3 linked regions of the Arabidopsis thaliana genome follow. The protein of the gene in region 1 interacts with the protein of each later gene in a pairwise test. Each region holds a gene or a part of one and is shown on either strand. Other genes may lie near its edges.

Region 1 (8,683 bases):
AGTCTCGCCAGACTACGAAGCTTACTCAACCGCTTCCAAATCCAACTCCCAGAGTTGTACGGATTCAAATCCAACTACCAGAGCTAAATTCTATTTCGTTATTTTAATATCATTAACACACCTCTATTATGAAACCTCCAAGAATAGAAACCACTAAGTTTAATAATTCAAATATTCTATATAGATATAGCTACTTTACTATGTGGCACATCAACTCCACAACTATTAATTCCGATATCGTATCGCACTCGCATATGTATTGTAATTTTCTATACATAAATAAATGTTATATACATAATTACGTATGTGTGTGTGGACTCTTGGTCTTTGTCTTTCAACTATTTAGAATTCAAATGGCTCGTTTCTGACGTATCAAAATCTGGAATAATGCGACGATAATCTCTACGTACGTGACTCGATTTATTTTAACATACATACTAATCAATCATATTTTATATTAAGAAAAATTAGGCAAGTATCGTGTATATATATATATATAGTATGTGGCTACATACTATTATTGCCCACATACAGTAAAACCTCTATAAATTAATACTCGATAAATTAATAACCTCTATAAATTAATAAATTCTTCCGGTCCCGAGTTGGGACCACTATAAAAATTGATACAAATCGATAAATTAATAAGATAATAATTATTTTGAAAATTTTATGTAAATATATGGTCCCATCAATATTATAAATTAATAATTGTATAAATTTATGAATATATATATATATATATATATTTATATTTATGAATATATATTATGTAAAACTTAGTAAAATATGACTTTAGTATTGTTTTTCTTCAATTTATATTAATTCTTTGTAAAATTCAATTCTAATAATTTTACTACGTATAAAAAAGATTTTTTTTTTAAACCTAATAATGGTTTTATACTTGTAATTGATTTTTAGAAAAATTATTGATTGTAGAGAGGAACTACCTTTTGGATTAAATTTTTGTAAAAAATTACAAATTTTTTAAAATCTCTCCATAAATTAATAATTATTAATTTATCGATAAATTAATACCTCTCTAAATTAATAAATTTTTGTACTATTATTACCTAGAAAGTGAAAATTGACCTACAAATATATCTTCAATTTGATTCACATATACGAAGTCACGTATGTTTCTATAAATTTAGATCCAAAATGTGTGAAAACCCATCTGTTTTTGCAAATTCTTGCAATTGCAATTGCACATGTTTCTATTACGTTTAAATCAATCGAGCTCTAAGTGATTTATCCATAGTGATATACAGATCCAATATCCATGAAACATATTTAATTCATGAAAAGGCTCAAACATTATCAACAAATAAGATATGGTCAACTATGTAGTAACTAGTAACACGTAGGCTGCTGCTCTTTGTGGCAAATTCATGCGCAAGCAAAGCCTCTAGATGTTTGACAAGTTACTACCCTAATATAGCATCACTAGCTATCTTCTAATTTTTTTTTTTAGTTATTTTAATCCTGTATTCTTTTATTTATTTATTTGATAAAGTGATGAAATTTTATTCTCCTTTTTCTTATCAACTAATATACTTATTCATTCACATAATTTCGCACTTTGCGGAGTTTTCATTTGTCGTTAAACCCGACAGATTCTTGAACCGCAAGGAACGAGACATTAACCTAATGTACTTATATTTAACTATAGTATTATAATAGCATAAATGTGACAATGATTCGATCACTACTAATATATTAATCACCAATCTATATCGTCGTCCTTCCTGATTATTTGAAGATTTTGTCTATAAACTAGCTGCTTTTGTTTATGTATTTTTATTACTTGGATGCTTTTGTTTGTTGGAATATTCGAATGAATTTTTGTTTGCCTGAAACTATGCATATATAATAAGGCCATATGCGCCAATAATATAGAATCCAAATATTCATTAACTATAATTAGTTTGTTCTAGAGTTTTAGCTACTCATATATTCAAATTCTTAGGAGATCAAAAAAGTACTTAATTAGTTAATAAAATCCATTTTTATTAGTTGTAATTAAATGTAAAGTGTCGAAACACGAAAGGGAAGATGAGTTGCACAACTCGTGGTTCCTATAAGAGTGATAATCTATCTGACGTCACGCCATGCAAAATGTATCAATCAATTTTCTTCTCACATTTATATTTACTTCAAAATGATTATAAAGCCACCCAATGAATAATAAGATATATATATATATATATATAACTCAAAATCAAAAATTTCAAATGGAATTTGGAAGCATCACAAATTCACAATCATGTATTCAAAATCTCACGTAGAAAAAGCTAATAAGTCCAAAAGATTGGTCTTCATTTTTTTCTTGAGAAAGTTTGATGGGATAGAGAGAGAGACAGAGAGGAACAGCTAAATTTGCTGTGTATGTATTTAATACTTGAACATTTATTTATCTATTTTCTTATACATCAAACTCACGAATTTATAGGTTGGTAATGTCGTTTTTATAACATTAATAAAAATTGCAATTGTAGTTTTTATTGAAATTTACCCAAAAAAAACTATTATACGAAAATATGTTATTTATTTAAAATTTGATATTAGATGAATCCAGAATCTTTTATAAAACTTGGTGTGTGTGAACCTGCGTTAATTTGTTAAATACTTTTCACGTAAAAATCAAAATTAATTTTAAAAGTTATGTTACCAAACAGTATTCTGATAGTTTTACAAATTTTATCCATTGTATATGTTTTGTTTTTGCAAAAAAGTCCAAAGGAAAAAACAAAGCAGAAGGGTTGAATTGTGAGGAAAGAGAGAGTACGTGGCATCATAACTTTGGCGACAGCTAATGTGAAAACAGCCAAAAGCTACGGAGAGCGACACTCCTCGACGACGTCCATGTCTCTTTAGATTGTGATTGCATTGTTAATTATCATATTTATCAATTGATTAGTTAAGTCTTAAGTATCATCACACAAGTTTATACATTAATCTATACAGTGTTTAACACTACAAAACTCCCCAAAATCACGTGTTTCATATCATACGTACATTTGTCTACCGTCTTTATTAACAATATTAAAACAGAATTTATCAATTTTCTAGTTGAATAGACTATATACTATTATAGAGACTCTTATAAATTATGAAACTCCTAATCAATTAAAAATAGTTAATTTGAAACATATCACTCGAAACTAGGGTATTAGTTGGATTGACGATATTTTTCTTATTAATATCAACGAGAAGAATCAAGTGTCGTTAGCTCAATTGGTAAAAAATTTAGGCAAAGCTTAGAGATGTCTATTTGAGTGACGCTTGGAACAAAAATTACATGCTATGGTTTCAGGCCTAGAGAAATGCTTCGATCCAGAATCTCTTGATATTCAAAAAAAAAAAAAAAATCAACAAGAAGAATGTATAAATGGTTTCTATACTATCTAAGTTATGAAAAATATTTTTGGTTACCCAAATTACAAGATTTGTACCGAAGTGTCACACTAGATTCACATGCATGCATAGTTATAATTAACTTAAAACATAAATGACTTACAAAAATACTTACAAACAAAAACCAAATTAAGTTATTTAGTGGCCAGCTTTGTTACTAGAGTTTTAGCCATTATCATAATTCACAATAAGGTGTAGGAAAAAACATTAATATATAGTATGTATACATCCAAAAAAAACTTTTTGGAAAAAACAAATTTTGGGATTATAAAGGACACGTAGCCCAATCGATGAACAGAGGACGGCACCGAATCAATTTGACTTCACCTTTTTTCCCCATATGATAAGAGTCTCATCTCTTTCCTATATATATTTCGTACCTCTCTTTAAGGACCCTACGTCTCTCTCTTTCTCTCTACTCTCTGTTTCCTCATAATTCAATCACTATATTTTTTTAAAAACATTTGACTTCATCGATCGGTTAACAATTAATCAAAAAGATGGGACGATCACCATGTTGTGAGAAGAAGAATGGTCTCAAGAAAGGACCATGGACTCCTGAGGAGGATCAAAAGCTCATTGATTATATCAATATACATGGTTATGGAAATTGGAGAACTCTTCCCAAGAATGCTGGTTAGTATACGTATCTTCATTATTACATTTTAATCATACTTTTTTTATTCGTGAATTGTCTTTTTAAAGTTTTGCTTGAATCTTGACTATAGGGTTACAAAGATGTGGTAAGAGTTGTCGTCTCCGGTGGACCAACTATCTCCGACCAGATATTAAGCGTGGAAGATTCTCTTTTGAAGAAGAAGAAACCATTATTCAACTTCACAGCATCATGGGAAACAAGTGAGTTTGAACTTTTCAATAATTTTATATTTTTGCCATTACGTAGTTTATACGAAAACTACTAATCTTGTAGATTAGTCTTAGAGTCATAGCTTTGAATGATGTTACTAGTGATTTATGTTAAATCTACAATGCATCAGATTCTAACTTTGTTTGCTTTCGTATAGGTGGTCTGCGATTGCGGCTCGTTTGCCTGGAAGAACAGACAACGAGATCAAAAACTATTGGAACACTCACATCAGAAAAAGACTTCTAAAGATGGGAATCGACCCGGTTACACACACTCCACGTCTTGATCTTCTCGATATCTCCTCCATTCTCAGCTCATCTATCTACAACTCTTCGCATCATCATCATCATCATCATCAACAACATATGAACATGTCGAGGCTCATGATGAGTGATGGTAATCATCAACCATTGGTTAACCCCGAGATACTCAAACTCGCAACCTCTCTCTTTTCAAACCAAAACCACCCCAACAACACACACGAGAACAACACGGTTAACCAAACCGAAGTAAACCAATACCAAACCGGTTACAACATGCCTGGTAATGAAGAATTACAATCTTGGTTCCCTATCATGGATCAATTCACGAATTTCCAAGACCTCATGCCAATGAAGACGACGGTCCAAAATTCATTGTCATACGATGATGATTGTTCGAAGTCCAATTTTGTATTAGAACCTTATTACTCCGACTTTGCTTCAGTCTTGACCACACCTTCTTCAAGCCCGACTCCGTTAAACTCAAGTTCCTCAACTTACATCAATAGTAGCACTTGCAGCACCGAGGATGAAAAAGAGAGTTATTACAGTGATAATATCACTAATTATTCGTTTGATGTTAATGGTTTTCTCCAATTCCAATAAACAAAACGCCATTGGAATAGAGTTATGTAAACATGCAATCATTGTATTTGTTATATAGATTTTGTTACATATCCAAAATCCAAAATACTATAGTTTTAAAATATTTATTACTAAAGTATATTCGTCAAGGGGAAAGCAACATCCCACCAGTAAACAATATAAAGCTCAGCTCATAACATTGTTTTAATGATGGAGTTTCTATTATTGGTATCTATCTACTCTTTTGTTTAATATTTGTGGTCGGCTTTTCTTCTACATAAATGCATGGAGATCGTATCAACGATCATATTAAAATATGATTCGAAGATATATACTATAATTGATATCATACATGGTGCTGAAATGTTATCGAAATAGAAAGGTAGATAAATAATTGATAGTGAATAATTATATCATTGACTTATTATCTCTTGTTTCTCTGAAGAAATAAACTAATGATAATTTATGAACCAAAACAATACTAATAACAAATGTTTTGAAATGGAAGTGGGCCATTAAGTCAATCAAAAATTTGCACAATTTCACTAGAACCAATCAAAATGCACGAAAAACTTTCTATTTTGACCACCAGAGAAGTCTTACGAATTTACTAACCGGAATCCGGCGAGACTGGCCGGAGCGTGAACTAGAAGTACACGTGGTATGGTAGCGTACGTGTGCAATTGGGGTCAGATCACGGGACACAATCTAATGACCAGACGCCACTTGTACGACACGAAAGCAATAAGTGGAAAACGTAAGGAAAAAGTTGAAAGAAAAAGCTCGTTTTAATTGAAATCACGGTTTGTGTTAATTAATCACCTTTAACACGTGTTGTACGGAGAGCCAACTGAGAGTGGGGACGCGTGGGGACAAAGCAGCATGTGTAAACACGAACGTCGGCATTTTTTGGGATGAGCTGTTTGTTTTGACCCCTTGTTCGGTTTTTCCAGTGGATCTTTTATTACGTATAGAGTCAACATTTTTTATAAGAATAAATTATTGTGGTAATTAAATAAACCTTGTTTTTTTCATTAAATAAAAACTTGTTTAGTAAGAGAAATTTCATATTATTTTCTTTGGTTTTAATGCTAAGAGTCTTAACGAAATTAAACAATTACATATCTTGCCAATTTTGAATGCTTAATTTGCAACTAGAATAAATTGTATATATCTAGTTTTACTTTTTTTTTTCTTTACTTTTTTTTGGTAAAATATATAGTTTTATTTTTGAATTGACGGAAACGTAAGTGGGTTAGTTGAGTTGTTTCTTTTTTATATATACGTAATTAGATATAAACGTGCGGTATACCGTAGATACTCTTATATTTTAGTTAAACTAAAATTTTTTATTGTAAAAGTGATTTATAAATATATAATATTATTTTATGGATTTTAAATGTATAGTAAACTGCTAGTTGTATATTTTTGTTGATATTATTTATATTGTTCAGTATTTAAGATTATACACTTGTATTTAATTGTTAATTTTAGAGTTTCACCTATAATTACCATCTTGTATTAATATTGATTTAAACCCGTCAATTCTAAGATTTTCAAGCTTGTATTAAAAATTGAATCACATCATACACATAAAAAAATCTAATATGTTATTAATTATTATAGTATATAAGATTATAAATTTTCAAAATAATATGTATGAAATTGAATATAAATATTTAAATTATAACCCGTTACTTAGTAGAAAGTTTTCTAAAATCTATTTTTGACCTGTTATAATATTTTTTCATGTATTGAACAGTTTATATTCGTTTTTAAAAATATAAATCATGGCACATGCGAAAAGCTAATTATTCTTTTATAACAATAATATTATTTTTTCGCAAAAATAGAATCATATAAAGATGAGAGATGAACTATAATAATTAATAAAAAATTAATATGATAATTTAGATATCAAATCTAATTTGTTGATTTTAATTAGTTATTTTTTTTGGAAATTAATAATGTATTTCGTTTGTCTAATTAAATTAAATTAATTAAAATTTGGATATCAAATCTTATATGTTGATTTTGATTGGTTACTTTTTTAGAAATTAAAAATGTATTTTGTTTTTTAATTAAATTTAATTAATTAAATTAGTATTTGACTTTTTAATATTTAAAAAGATGAATTATTTTACTCTTTGAAATTTTATTTTTAATTGCATACCTATGTAATTACTTACAAAAAATATGGTTATTTTATTATGTATTTCCCAATAATAGTATAGGATTATGTTAGCATATATTTACAATGTTACCACATTTGATTTTATTTTTAATATCTTTTGTTAGCAATTTTTACTGAATGTTGAAACTTGTCAAATGTCACTATTCATCACGATTTTCAGTTTGAGCGAGATTTTTATCGATTTTTTTGGAAACTTTAAAACACTGTCGTCATAGTATACTTTTTTCTAAACATCAAATTTCCAGGACTATAATAAGAGACTATAATAAAAGCTTATAACAATAAATTATTAGCAAGTTTTAACAAGAAAAATTAAAATCTTTCATATGTTTTAGGCACCCTTAAAAATAATTTCCTTAATTGTTATTGGCCAACTTTTAATATTATACAGTATAACCTCTATAAATTAATACTCTATAAATTAATAACTTCTATAAATTAATAAATTTTTCCGGTCTTAAGTTGGAACCAGTGTAAAAAGTGACACAAACGATAAATTAATATGATAATAATTGTTTTGAAAGTTTTATGTAAATATATGGTCCCATCAATATCGTAAATTAATAATTGTATAAATGTATCAACTACATATATATTATATGTAAAACATAAAACATTTCCTTATAATATATTTTTAATATTTTTTTGCTTAAATTCATATTTGTTCTTTGTTTGAATATAATTATCATAGTTTACTGTATCAAAACTGTTGGTGTTGTTTGTAGACATTATTATTATATTTTCAATAATGAAAGAAATTTTATAGAAATTTTTAAAAAGTTACCAAAATTTTGAAAATCTTTTTATAAATTAATAAATATTAATTTATCGATAAATTAATACCTTTCTAAATTAATAAAATTTTGTAGTCCCAATATTATTAATTTATAGAGATTTTACTGTATATATAAACTCTAAAGTTTTAAATCTAAAGTCTAACTTCGACACCATAAATAGTTGGCTTAAACTACACCACAACTTGTTTCGTGGCAAGTCTATTACCGAAAAAAAGAACTGGCCACATTATAGGCACAAGAACATTTTTCTACATAACACAAATCCAGTTTTAACCATTAGAAAGAAAAAGAAAAACATATGAAACACAAAATAAAGCAAAAATATGATAAGAAAGTGATTATCATATTTTTCTAATAATAGACAGATTGTTTCAAAAAGAAAAATATACTTAAAAAGTAGAGAAACTAAAAACTGAGAAATAATTGACAAAAAGATTGAGAAATAAAAAGAATAAATGTAAATTTATTTATTTGATTTTTATTTTGATTTAAATTAAATGAGGTTTTTATTTGTTACATTAACTGTTTAAATTTTATAATTAAAAGGTAATTTTTCGAAAAT
Region 2 (5,699 bases), on another chromosome or scaffold:
GAGTTTTACAAAGCTAAAGCTGGCGATTAACAAGATAATCCTAGAAACTAAGCCGACGGATAACAAAAAATCTTTGGAGACTAAGATTTTGGTTTGAACTCTTATGAGATGTTTATTATTCTACCCAAAAAAATAGACTTCAAACAGATTGAATAATGTCTTTTTGAGAATGTTTTTAGCTCATCAGAAATTTAAAATGGTTTGGACAGTAATATGTATCTGACGCATATAGAAGATTGAAACTAATTACCATCTCTTGAGAAAACAAAGTTACACAATCAAACTCTTTGTTTGGCATAGGTCCACTGGCCTAAATTTTTTCTTTGTTCCCATTTGCAAAAATTAGATTCGAACTCGTAAAACATATATATCAAGTCGCTAATAGCCATTAAACTCATTTACTGGTCAAACTATAACTGTTATTTGTCAAATCCGTTATTGTTTGAATATGTCTATCCTCAAAAGAAGATCTCGAAGCAGAAGCTCAAGTAAAATTTATATATGTATTATGAATGTATCCAAGTTTTGTCCATAAGAATTCCTCTAATATTAATAGCTAAATTAAGGAAACACCTATAAACCAGATATAGATGATTATACTTGTTATAATCATTTACTATAGATAGGTACAATAGGAGTATATTTGATTAATCAATATTCCTTCTTGATATTTCAATAACGATTACCTAACTCCATTGGCACTAATCTTTATTTTTGTCACCAAATCTTTAAGTTCATTTACGCATGAGATCATCTTGTCCCCTTTCAGATCTAATTTGTCACAATCACTTTAAATTTAATTAAGATGCCATTCGCTTTAAATTTAGACTTGGTCAATGATTATAATTATAATCGATCGACTCATCACCTTTTGAGTCGTGTGACTCGTGCGTATAAAAACCATTTTTGTTGTCAGATATTTTAACTTGATTTTGCCATCTCTTCACTATTGTTACATCAGTAAATCGCTTCGTAAGTGGAGATTAATTTGCAAATTTTGGAACTAATTACTGACCAGTGATCCACTCTATATATGGTTGTATTAGTACTTGATTGGCAAATAACAAAAAAAAAACTTAAATAAAAAAACTGTGTTATTCTTAAATTTATAGTATATGGATTAGTTTTAAGAGTGTGGTTGGGAAATATACGAAAGTCCAAGAATCTTATTAGTTCGTTCACAATTGTATAGGGATGTTGTCACTAATTTTAACCAAATTATACCTTTTTATCTTTTTGCCTAACATTTTTTTGACGTTGCCCCAAAACGAAGCAATGAGTTGAGGGTTAGTGGTAAAAATAATCAAAAAGATTATATGCATAGATTTATGTGAAGTTAACCAAAAAAAAAACTCGACCCAAAATACATAATCTTCAACAAGAACTATGTTTTCTTCTTGCAACAAGAACTATCACTCCTGTCATAGCATAGACCAAACTTTTTTTTCTCCTACACTAATATATAAAGTTACAGTTCTTTTTACTGAACGGTAAAATTAATGGTTAGAGTTGGGAGAATAACTTAGGCAAAAAAACAAAAAGAGAGAATAACTTTCCATGTGCAACCCAAACCCTTTACTACTGTCTTCTAGACCCAACACAACCACAAGCGTGCAGGCAAAGACACGTGTCCATGTCACAACTAGTATAGACTCCAACACGTGTCCAGATCACAGACGTTATAAAACCCTTACCATTTCTGTTCAGTGTATTCCTCAGCTCAAGTAAAGCTTTTACCTAATTCTCAAACATTCTTTACACAAAAATATCAAGAGTGATATAGATAGCGAGAAAAAATGGACGGTAGGGGAGGGTGTTGCATAGCTAGGTACGCCATTGGCTCTGGACCGTACGATCTTTCCAAAGCAGATCGCATCATGCTTCGATTTCGTCCCATTGCTCCTAAACCGGCCAGCCCCGGCGGAGTAAATCCCGTATCCAGCGGAGATAGCGGCGGCGGAAGCTCCGACGTTTCCTTTAGATCAGCTAGTAGAAGAAAGAGGAAATGTCATCAGCTGAAGGAGAATGGTGGTAACGCCAAGAGGTGCACCCGGCGGAAGACGTCGGATAAACCCGTCGTTCACGGCAGTGCTAATGCGGTGACTCTTTCTCTATTACCGGAGAAACCTATAGATCTTAAGGCGGCGGTGGAGAAGCAGAAGCGGCAGGGTCCGTTATGGTTGAGTTTCAAAGACGGCGGAGGGATGCTCACACCGGCTTATCAGACACCGGAGATTGTGCAGAGGACGGTGGTGATTTCGTCGTGTATGACGGTGGAGCGTGTAACGGACGCTTGGATTGACGGTTACGGTTTAGGGAGGTCAGATGAAGAAAGGAAGATGAATCTTGTGAGAGACACGTGTCCTGGTTTCATATCCGACGGTTCAGGGAGAGTCACGTGGACTAATGACGCGTATCGGAAGATGGCTAGGGATATTATTCCCGTGGAAGAAGGTGCACCGGAGATAACTAGCGGCGATAGTTTTCACGTGATCGTACGGTTGGTGATGAGGGAGAGGCCGATGCTAACGTCCCCTGGATTCACATGCAGAATGAAACTCCAGTACACGTGTCAAAATCGTGAGAGAGGCTCAGTCACGGTGCCTTGCGACGTGTGGAGAATGGACGTCGGTGGTGGTTTTGCTTGGAGGCTCGACGTTAAGGCCGCTTTGTGCCTTTGACACCGTTAGATCAACTTTAGTCACTATGGGCACGAACATTACACATGATATGTCCTCCAATGATAAAATATGGATTCAGAACTAATTAGATTTCTAATGGTTTAACATATATTTATGTCGTTTTTGTTCTTATGCCTTCTTTGTTTTTGGTTGTTTTTTAAATAGTTTTTTATTTAAGAATTTTTGTAAAAAATGCATCTTTCTTTTGTTTGTTCTTGACGCATTTGTGATGCTAAATTTCAAGCTTGTTGCTTAAAAATAATTAATGAAGGAAAATTTTGTAAGTATTTAATGCGTATCGTCGGTGCGGTTCCCACCTATATTGGACGCATGTTGTGAGATTTCACGGCAAGGACGGTTGGAAATTACGGTCCGAGTGATCGTCCAAACATGCAAATTCCAAAATGGTCCAAAAAATGTGAAACATACCATCTTGATTGCTACAAAAAAGTGTGAGCGAACCGGTCTTACTTTGAGCTAGTTACTCACTTGAAGAGATATTTCAGTCGAACTCATCACATTTTGATTTTGATATTTTCTTTTCTTTTGTCGGCACTCACGTTTTGAGGAAACAAGGAATATAAGAAAGTAAACGACCCAATAAACGTGATACGTCGGAGCAAAAGAAAACAAAAAAGGAGGGTGAGGAATAAATGTTGTACTACAGCTTTGAATGTACTACAGTCTACCTGCGGTAAAAGTGCGATATCTAATGATACGTGGGACATCTATATATCATCTATGCCATAATAGAAATGCCACATGGACCAATGTTTAACTATGTGTAGCTGTGTTTTTGGAACTTAAACATCAGTTCCATTTTTTGACAAAAAAAGAAGAAGACGTCAGATTCAAAACATTCAAATCAACGGTGTGTACCAAATTCCAAATCGTTAAGTTAATGAGAAACTGATTTTACCATCTCCGGATAAGAAATAGCGCTACAAGACTAAAATCAAAGACATTGTATGATACTATAATCGAGTTTTTAAGGGTCAAATGAATAGTGTTTAGCCGGGGACTTTTCTTTTATAAATTGTTTTTTAGAATCTTTTTGAATTTATTTTTCGTTATATATAATCAAATTAATCAAAACATAAATAAATTAAGAGTTTTAAATAGCAATACAAGTCTACCTACATTGGACATAAATTGTATAATAATTTAGTTAAGAATTTTAAGGAGACTTTTCTTTTGTAAATTGTTTGTTAGAATCTTTTAGTATTACTTAATCTTCCGTTACTATTGTTAATGACCTAACTGATCAGAAGCGGAGTACTGAGACGTTGCAAACACCATCCTTAAACCGTAAACAATATGTATGAAGATTGTTTTTGGTTGTATAAAATAAAACAAGTCAACGGACGATTTAAACAGAATAATAAAATTGGGCCGAAGCTTATTAGCCTTTTAAGGCCCACAAAGAAGAGCGAAAACCCTTAACGAGCATATACAACTCGGAGCACCTCTTTTCTCTCGCTCTCTTCCTCTTCAAGGTTTATATTTATAACTTCTTTTGCTGCTCTCAACGAACTCTTCCAGGCTAATAAACCGTCTCTGTTTTCATCTTCTCCGTAGCTGAGATAGCTCCATACCCTCTCCGACCCAAGTAAACTGATTTTCCATGTTATGGAGATTTGGTTCTCTAACTTATTGCTTTAGAGTTTTGATGTCATTGTACAAGTTTAATGCTATTATTTTTGTGAATTAGGTACAACCTTGCAGAGTAGCTTTGGTAAGAGTTTGCCTTAAGAGTTTTGTCATCAAAGAGCACACATGGTGTGAAGTTTTTGGTATACACGGAGAGATGACAAGGGTTTTTGATATTCCAGGTACGAACGAGAAAGCCTTTTGATAGAAGTTGATGTTTTGGAGCCCAAACAGAAGAAACAAGAGAAACATTTAGGCGTATTTTGCGGTGTCAAGACTACCTTCTCTGACGACGATTGATAGAAAAAACAAAAAACGTCACGTTCCTAACGTTCAACGGTGTACTACAAGATCCCAAACGTCTGGCTAAGTTAATAAGAAACTGATTTTACTATCTCCGGGATAAGAAGAAATGAAAAAAAAAAACTATCAAATAGATCAAACCTAACAGACAAAAATTCAAATAAATCAACCTCGACAATTTCTTATTTTTACTTTCCTTTTAAACATCAGTCTGTCAAGACTTGAGTACCGTTAACAAGAGGTTGCTGTTCCGAGTAACCGATACTGCTCTCATCACTCAGAATGCTATAGTCAAAATCGTCAAAATCATCGTCATCCTCTTCTTCTTCCTCTGACTCTGTTTCTTCTTCTTGACTCGCCAAGGTAGACCCTTCTTTTCTTTTCTCTATTGTCTGCTTAATCGCATCATCGTAAGACATGTCATACCACACATTGCCTTTCCCAACAATGGATTTGTTGTGTGCATCCTTCATTCTCTCTTGCTTGCTAATCTCTGAGTTCTTTGGCTCTCCCCAGTAGTCATACTGATATAATGCACTTGTTGGATCGTACTGGTCTTTCCCAAAGAAGCTTCCTGGCTTGTACCTCCCTGGTTCCTCCAATGGTAAACCAAGTGCTTGCCGACTGCAAAATAAATCTTCTTCATCTAAACACTTTCTTTGAAAAACATCAAAGTGAACTTTTTTTTACTTACGAGCTGATATCTCTGAGCAATGCTTCTCTTTCCTCCAAAGATCGGCGCCAGTGTAAGAAATCATACTCGTCCATCTCTATATTTCGTCTGAGCTTGTCAATTTTGTATCCTTCTCCTCTTGCTTTAGCTTCCATCATTAGTTTATTGTGGTGCTGCACAAGACAACAGGAGAGTATTGAGTTATTAACCACTATCAGTATAAAAGATTCATACAACAATGTGTCAATTACAAAGTGCAAAGCCTTAAAATGGAACTGTGACGACAATCGGAGTTACCAAGACAGTGTGAAGTGGAAATCTATTAAAAATAAACAAATACAAACGAGAATATTTCCGTAGCAGTGGGTTAAAGGAAATTGGTGACGACAAGT
Region 3 (5,854 bases), about 14 Mb from region 1:
CTAAAGCAATAGCATAAGGGCTCGATGATGAACTGATCTCTGTTCTAAAATATGGCAGTTCAATGTCACCAGAGCTGGAAGGAGTGAAACAAAAAACGATCGGGATTAAAAGAGACCACCTGATAAGACTCATACATCTTTCGGAAGCTATTTGTTCACTACTCGTTACAAATGACTAAAATTTCTATCGGGACTCCCCAAAGAAAACTATGAACTTTGATTACCGTGAAGGGATTGGTTGAGCAGTACTGTAAGAAGCAGTCAAGGAGGCAACTACTATGATTGCTAAGCATATCTGCAATCCTACAACTTGCTGTATTTCTTGCAACTTCACATCCTACCACATGCATGGAGCACATTATCATAATCCGAAGTTTAGAAGTTATCTTGAGTCAACATCAGGAAAAAAAAAGAAATGGAAATAAAGGGATACCTTTACAGAGAGGAAAAATAGACTAAATGATAAGAAAGCAGACACCAGACAATACAGGCATGATGATCCTGAGAGTTTTGTGCTAAGGATATACAGGAAATATGCACTAGCAGATGCCATTGCAGTCGTGATCCCAAATAACGCGAAACGCCCATTGCTCTTACTGATTCCAAAAGGTAGATTCCCTTCCCCAAGCTCTGCACTTAGAGCGGTTACTACGCCATACATAACAAATCCAATCACTGGAAGAGGAACACCTGGCAAAATGTAAAAAAGGATTTTCATTGAGTTCAACTTACCTGCAATGCAATGTTGGACAAACAACGAAGACAAAGCACTACATAGAGTGGAGTGAAGCATGCTATTTAACTCTAACAATTCTATGCATACTAAGTACCAAAGCTCCTAAATGATATAGCTTCAAGCAAAGATTCACAGAGACTATCACATGCGAGTATTTAATCATGCCTACTATAAAAGAGAGGACAATTAGCTACATAAATCAAACGCTATAATCAATAAAGCGATGGATAATACCGAAAACGACGGCATAATCGCTGTTGAGGACATCACCGCAAGTGCCACCACCAATAGGGCAAAACGCATCGGAGCCAGTGACCTTGAGGTAAGTCAAATACGCAGTGTCTAACATCCCAATACCGCCGATTCCGGTGTACCAGTTGTATGTCGAACTGTTACTAGTAGATACTTCACTTGTAGACGATGAGGAGGAGGAAGACAGCGACGGTGCCGAATCCTCACCGTTTTCCGGCTCAGATGAAGAACATTTAATCGGAATCGCAGGAAATCTCCGATCAGAGACCTAATTCAGAACATCTGACTTCAAATGACCGATCACACACTACTGTCACTGAAGAAAACACATGACAAGAATTTACCTCGAATCGTCTAGGATAAGAAGTTACCGACGGAGGAGAAACCTCACGGAAGCCGAAATGAAACTGACAAGACGACACAGAAACAAACCTCGCCATCATCGTCGTCGAAGAATCGCTATTCCACCATTGTTAACTTCATCATCTTCTCTCCTCCGCTCCACTATCTCAGCCACTTGTTTCAATATTGGGCCTAAACGAGGCCCAAATACGATAATTTGGATCCATAATTAGTTTATCACAATTGGGCCTTACGGTCTTCTTATCCGTCCGAGTCAGCAAGTTATCCTCTTCAACACGACTCACGAGGCACCGAGTTGGACTTATCATGATTCATTATCTACGCATTGTTTACATTTTGGAATCGACTTTGGTACATAATTGAATTTATCCATAGAAATGATAGAGACTCGAAGATCGGACATAAAACTTGCTGACGTGACACCCATACCTTTGTGTCTGTATGTATTATATAAACGCTATAGAACTAAGAGAAGAAGTATCTAAGTAGCATCAAAGCATTCTAAAAGAAGTTTCAAAGAAGAAGTGAAAATGGAAACCACTGCTTTTAACACAACATCACGAATTGGAAACTGGTCATCGGCTATTTCTCCACCTCTACAAACATGTGGATCTTTCAAGTGCCAATTACCAACACGAAGAGGTGTTATTGTAGCTGATCTTCGAAACTCAAACTTCCGATGGTAAGCTAGCAATCAACGACGAGAATCGCCTTCTCTATCTGATTTTAGATTATGAATAAATATTAAATCTGAGTATTAACTTCTTGCTCAAGGAGGAAAGCAACGACAACAAGCAGAGGAAATGTTGCAGCAGAGGCAGTTAAAATTCCTACGTCAGTACCAGTAAGAGTGGCGCGTGAGCTAGCTCAAGCAGGATACCGCTATCTCGACGTGAGGACACCAGACGAATTCAGCATCGGACATCCGACTAGAGCCATCAACGTACCTTACATGTACAGAGTCGGATCAGGTTTTCATCACCGACCTTAAGGTTCCTCTTATGAGAAAGAGTGAAAATGAAAAACAACTTAAAACTAACACCAAGCCAAAACCGTTGCAGGAATGGTTAAGAACCCGAGTTTTCTAAGACAGGTCTCGTCCCACTTCAGGAAACACGATGAAATCATAATCGTAAGTTTCAGTTTTGACATTCAGAGACTAAATAAACCCCTATGAAGACAATCCCTTGTTTCACAAAATCTCTGATGCACGTAATAAACTACTTCTGCAGGGTTGTGAGAGCGGTCAAATGTCATTTATGGCCTCAACTGATCTTCTCACTGCTGTATGTGTGTAATATCACTTCAATTTATATAGCCGTTATCCGGTTTAGGACAAGCGGGTTTAATGTCGCCACATGTACAGGGCTTCACGGCGATCACAGACATTGCTGGAGGATACGTCGCTTGGACAGAGAATGAGCTGCCGGTAGAAGAGTGAAAACAATCATAGCCATATCACCTCCTGTAATTATCAATAAATTCTGTAGATGTTCTCAACGCAAGTATCAATCATCATTATTATTCTCTAAAACATAGTTTAACTGTCAAATCTATATTGGGTGAAAGCTTTACCGAACTTCGAACACCACAAAGTTTACGGACCAATTAAGGACGGGGATGCATGCCTACACACGTTTAGTTTTCGCCGTTTTAAAATTTTAATACTTAAACTAATTTTTAAATGATAATAGTGAAATTAACATTATTTTAGTTAAAAATTATTAATTACTTTCTTAAAATTTAAGTTTTAAATTGGTTTTAAATTATTATTCTTTAAGTTTAAGTGTTAAATTTATAAAATGATAGAAAAACATATTTATACATGGACAAGATCAAACCGAAAGGAACCGAAACTAATATTATGAAAACTAATATCAATCTCAACACAGGTGTTTCTGTATCTGAATCGTTTACGATCAGTTAATATGATTACTTGCTTTGATTAACAAAGAAATCCGTAGCCGCTCTTAAGAATGGCTTCAAAAGAATGGCTTTCACTTTATTGAGTTGCAATCCAAATCAATCTCTGCAGTGATAATTGTATCAAAAGGAGATTGTTTTTTAAGAAAATTATACATGGACAAAAAGAGTGAGGCTCTAAGAAACTGTACAACGAAAAAACGAGAAGTGAGTAGAGCTCTATCAAACCGATCAAACCAAATTTTTCAGCGCACCCGAGAGAGTCAACGATGGCCTTTTTTTAGGCCTGAAAAGTAACCACCATGTTTATCCTTGTGGCGCTCATCATCTCCAACCTGGTGGTTTCAAAACATATTAATGCTAAGAATCGTGTTGGTTAGAGAGAGAGATGCAATGATAAATCAATTACCTCGCGGATTAGTTGGTTAAGCATTTCTATGATTTCTGCAAAATTGGGTCTTAGAGCTGGGTCTTGCTGCCAGCATTTCTCAAGAAGTTCAGTCAGTTTTGGGTGTGTTTCCTTTGGAATTTTTGGTCTAAGTCCCTGTAAATTAATTACAAGTCATTGTGTTGAAGGCCGTTAATCAAAGCACGAGAAAAATAACTATAAAGTCCTATAGACATGATACCTTTTGGACAACGCCAACAGCAGCTTGCAGTGGAGTCAAGTAAGAATATGGGAGCTGTTTTCATTCATTATACACCAGTAAGAAAAAAAAGTGTGTTAAACACATGAGATTTACTGAGTTTAGCAACTTTCGACTAAAATCCAGAGAGAGAAAACTAGGAGTCTTACTTCCCCAGTCAAAAGTTCCCACAGCACAATCGCGTAGCTGAAGACATCTGCCCTGTGATCATAAGGTTTGTGCTCAATGACCTGGGTTCACAGAGTCTAGTGTCAAAAGCATGGAAAGTCAAAAAAAAGAACAAGACAAAGAAGTAATACCTCTGGAGCCATCCATCGGTATGTCCCTGTTTCCGCTGTCATAACCCCTGACTCAGTCTGCACTCTGGCAACACCAAAATCGGCAACTTTGACAACCTGTCCAAAATTATGTAGAAATTAAAGACATGTACCTCTGTTCTAAGAAGATTAAAAGAATTTTGTGGAGACGGAAAGAGGAAATTAAGTTTTTTGTAGAATTTTAAAGGTTTACAAGCTGAAAAGACTACATGATCAGTGGCCAAAGATTGAGACTTACTTCATGTTCGTCCATAAGAAGATTAGCAGTCTTAAGGTCTCTATGAATAATATTGTTTTGATGCAGATAATTCATTCCTTTCGAGACGTCGAGTGCCACTTTGAGCAAAGATTGAATTTTAAAAACCCCTTTGTGTTTGTGAAGGAAATCATAAATGCTCCCCCGAGTCATGAACTCTGATACAAAAGGATAAAATCATCCGACCATGAATACATGTAAAGGCCAAAACTAGGAAATGAAATGTTACGGTATTTACTAAACAATACTCTATAGAACCTCAATGTCCTGCTGAAACAACTTTCTCACCACGCTTGAAGATACAAAACCAACAAAAAAAACGATCTAGATGGAACCAGTCTCCTATTCATAATCTACTGACAACTTACCTGTCACAATGCAGAGGTTTGGTGATCGTGTACATGCACCAATGAACTGGACAACATTTTTATGCCGAACTTTCCTACAAATAGGGAAGTATCAGTAGTGGATGTTTCTGAATATTAACTTTGTTCAATGGACACTGGTTGTTAGAAAATGAGGGAAACTCATGCATGTTTCTACGTATACACCATGAAATGGAATTTTTGGAGATTTATTAGAATACATATACTATAAGAGTACGAGTTGCAATTAGAATCAAATTGCAGCACACCTCATTATATATACTTCCTGAGAAAACTCTCGTAGCATTTCCGCATTAACACGCTCAGGCTTGAGAATTTTGATAGCTACTTCCTGACTACAATAGGTTCCTCTAAATCTGCATAGCCATTAAGAATATATAGCTGTTAATTTCCTCATATAGTATTAAAAACAAGATTTTTGAATATGAAAACTCACAGTTCCCCGTATGATCCACATGCCACCTTTTTTTCAATTTTGAGCTGCTTCATGTCAATTTCCCACTCATCAGTTCCATCCGTAGGTATTTCAACACACGCAGGTAGCAGCTCGTTGGTTGATTTGTCATGCTCAAAGAAAGTGATAGATTTCTGTTTTGAACAAGGTTGATCCTGCAGAGCAGCCAGTGTGGAATATGGAGACATGACGACTATCAAAATTGATTCAAAACATAGCAAAAAAAACATCAGTACAGTGGTGCATTCAGTTTCGGAGTGAGCTAATTCTAAACCATTACTTGCACTTTCGGAATTTAAATTATGAATGTGGCATGGAGTCTAATATAAGGAATCTCATGAAGATAAGGAATGCTCATGACAATAGACTAACAAAAGATACCTTAAACTTTCTTATCTCCTTCTTCAATGCATCTTTTAAACCTTCTGTTTCCTGTATTTCAAAAGTGTATAAAGTTGCAACCAGTTTAGATGGCAGGGGCAGAAAGGTCATCAATGGTCAATATCTTTCGAAGTCATTT

Evidence for each region. The genes of interacting proteins can lie anywhere in the genome.
Region 2: the proteins of MYB74 (region 1) and AT3G48510 interact in a two-hybrid assay, tested with the Arabidopsis thaliana proteins (one large-scale study listed by BioGRID).
Region 3: the proteins of MYB74 (region 1) and SEN1 interact in a two-hybrid assay, tested with the Arabidopsis thaliana proteins (one large-scale study listed by BioGRID).

Annotation. Positions count from the first base shown.
Region 1 is NC_003075.7:2,614,640-2,623,322, forward strand, and holds MYB74 (myb domain protein 74), read left to right. Parts: upstream 1-3,732; 5' UTR 3,733-3,917; coding exon 3,918-4,053; intron 4,054-4,145; coding exon 4,146-4,275; intron 4,276-4,442; coding exon 4,443-5,151; 3' UTR 5,152-5,308; downstream 5,309-8,683. UniProt on the Arabidopsis thaliana protein: Probable transcription factor that may function in salt stress response.
Region 2 is NC_003074.8:17,964,550-17,970,248, reverse strand, and holds AT3G48510 (AtIII18x5-like protein), read left to right. Parts: upstream 1-1,658; 5' UTR 1,659-1,796; coding exon 1,797-2,681; 3' UTR 2,682-2,895; downstream 2,896-5,699. Other genes in the region: PDE312 (Nucleic acid-binding, OB-fold-like protein), read right to left, coding at 4,841-5,258, 5,329-5,480.
Region 3 is NC_003075.7:16,943,192-16,949,045, forward strand, and holds SEN1 (Rhodanese/Cell cycle control phosphatase superfamily protein), read left to right. Parts: upstream 1-1,686; 5' UTR 1,687-1,881; coding exon 1,882-2,033; intron 2,034-2,125; coding exon 2,126-2,322; coding exon of another isoform or gene 2,323-2,342; exon of another isoform or gene 2,343-2,412; coding exon 2,413-2,483; coding exon of another isoform or gene 2,484-2,528; exon of another isoform or gene 2,529-2,583; coding exon 2,584-2,637; coding exon of another isoform or gene 2,638-2,649; exon of another isoform or gene 2,650-2,717; coding exon 2,718-2,792; 3' UTR 2,793-3,050; downstream 3,051-5,854. Other genes in the region: LTO1 (NAD(P)H dehydrogenase (quinone)s), read right to left, coding at 1-74, 225-337, 434-690, 971-1,256, 1,333-1,431; STY17 (ACT-like protein tyrosine kinase family protein), read right to left, coding at 3,538-3,609, 3,684-3,818, 3,904-3,957, 4,071-4,151, 4,221-4,316, 4,477-4,652, 4,863-4,936, 5,129-5,236 and 2 more.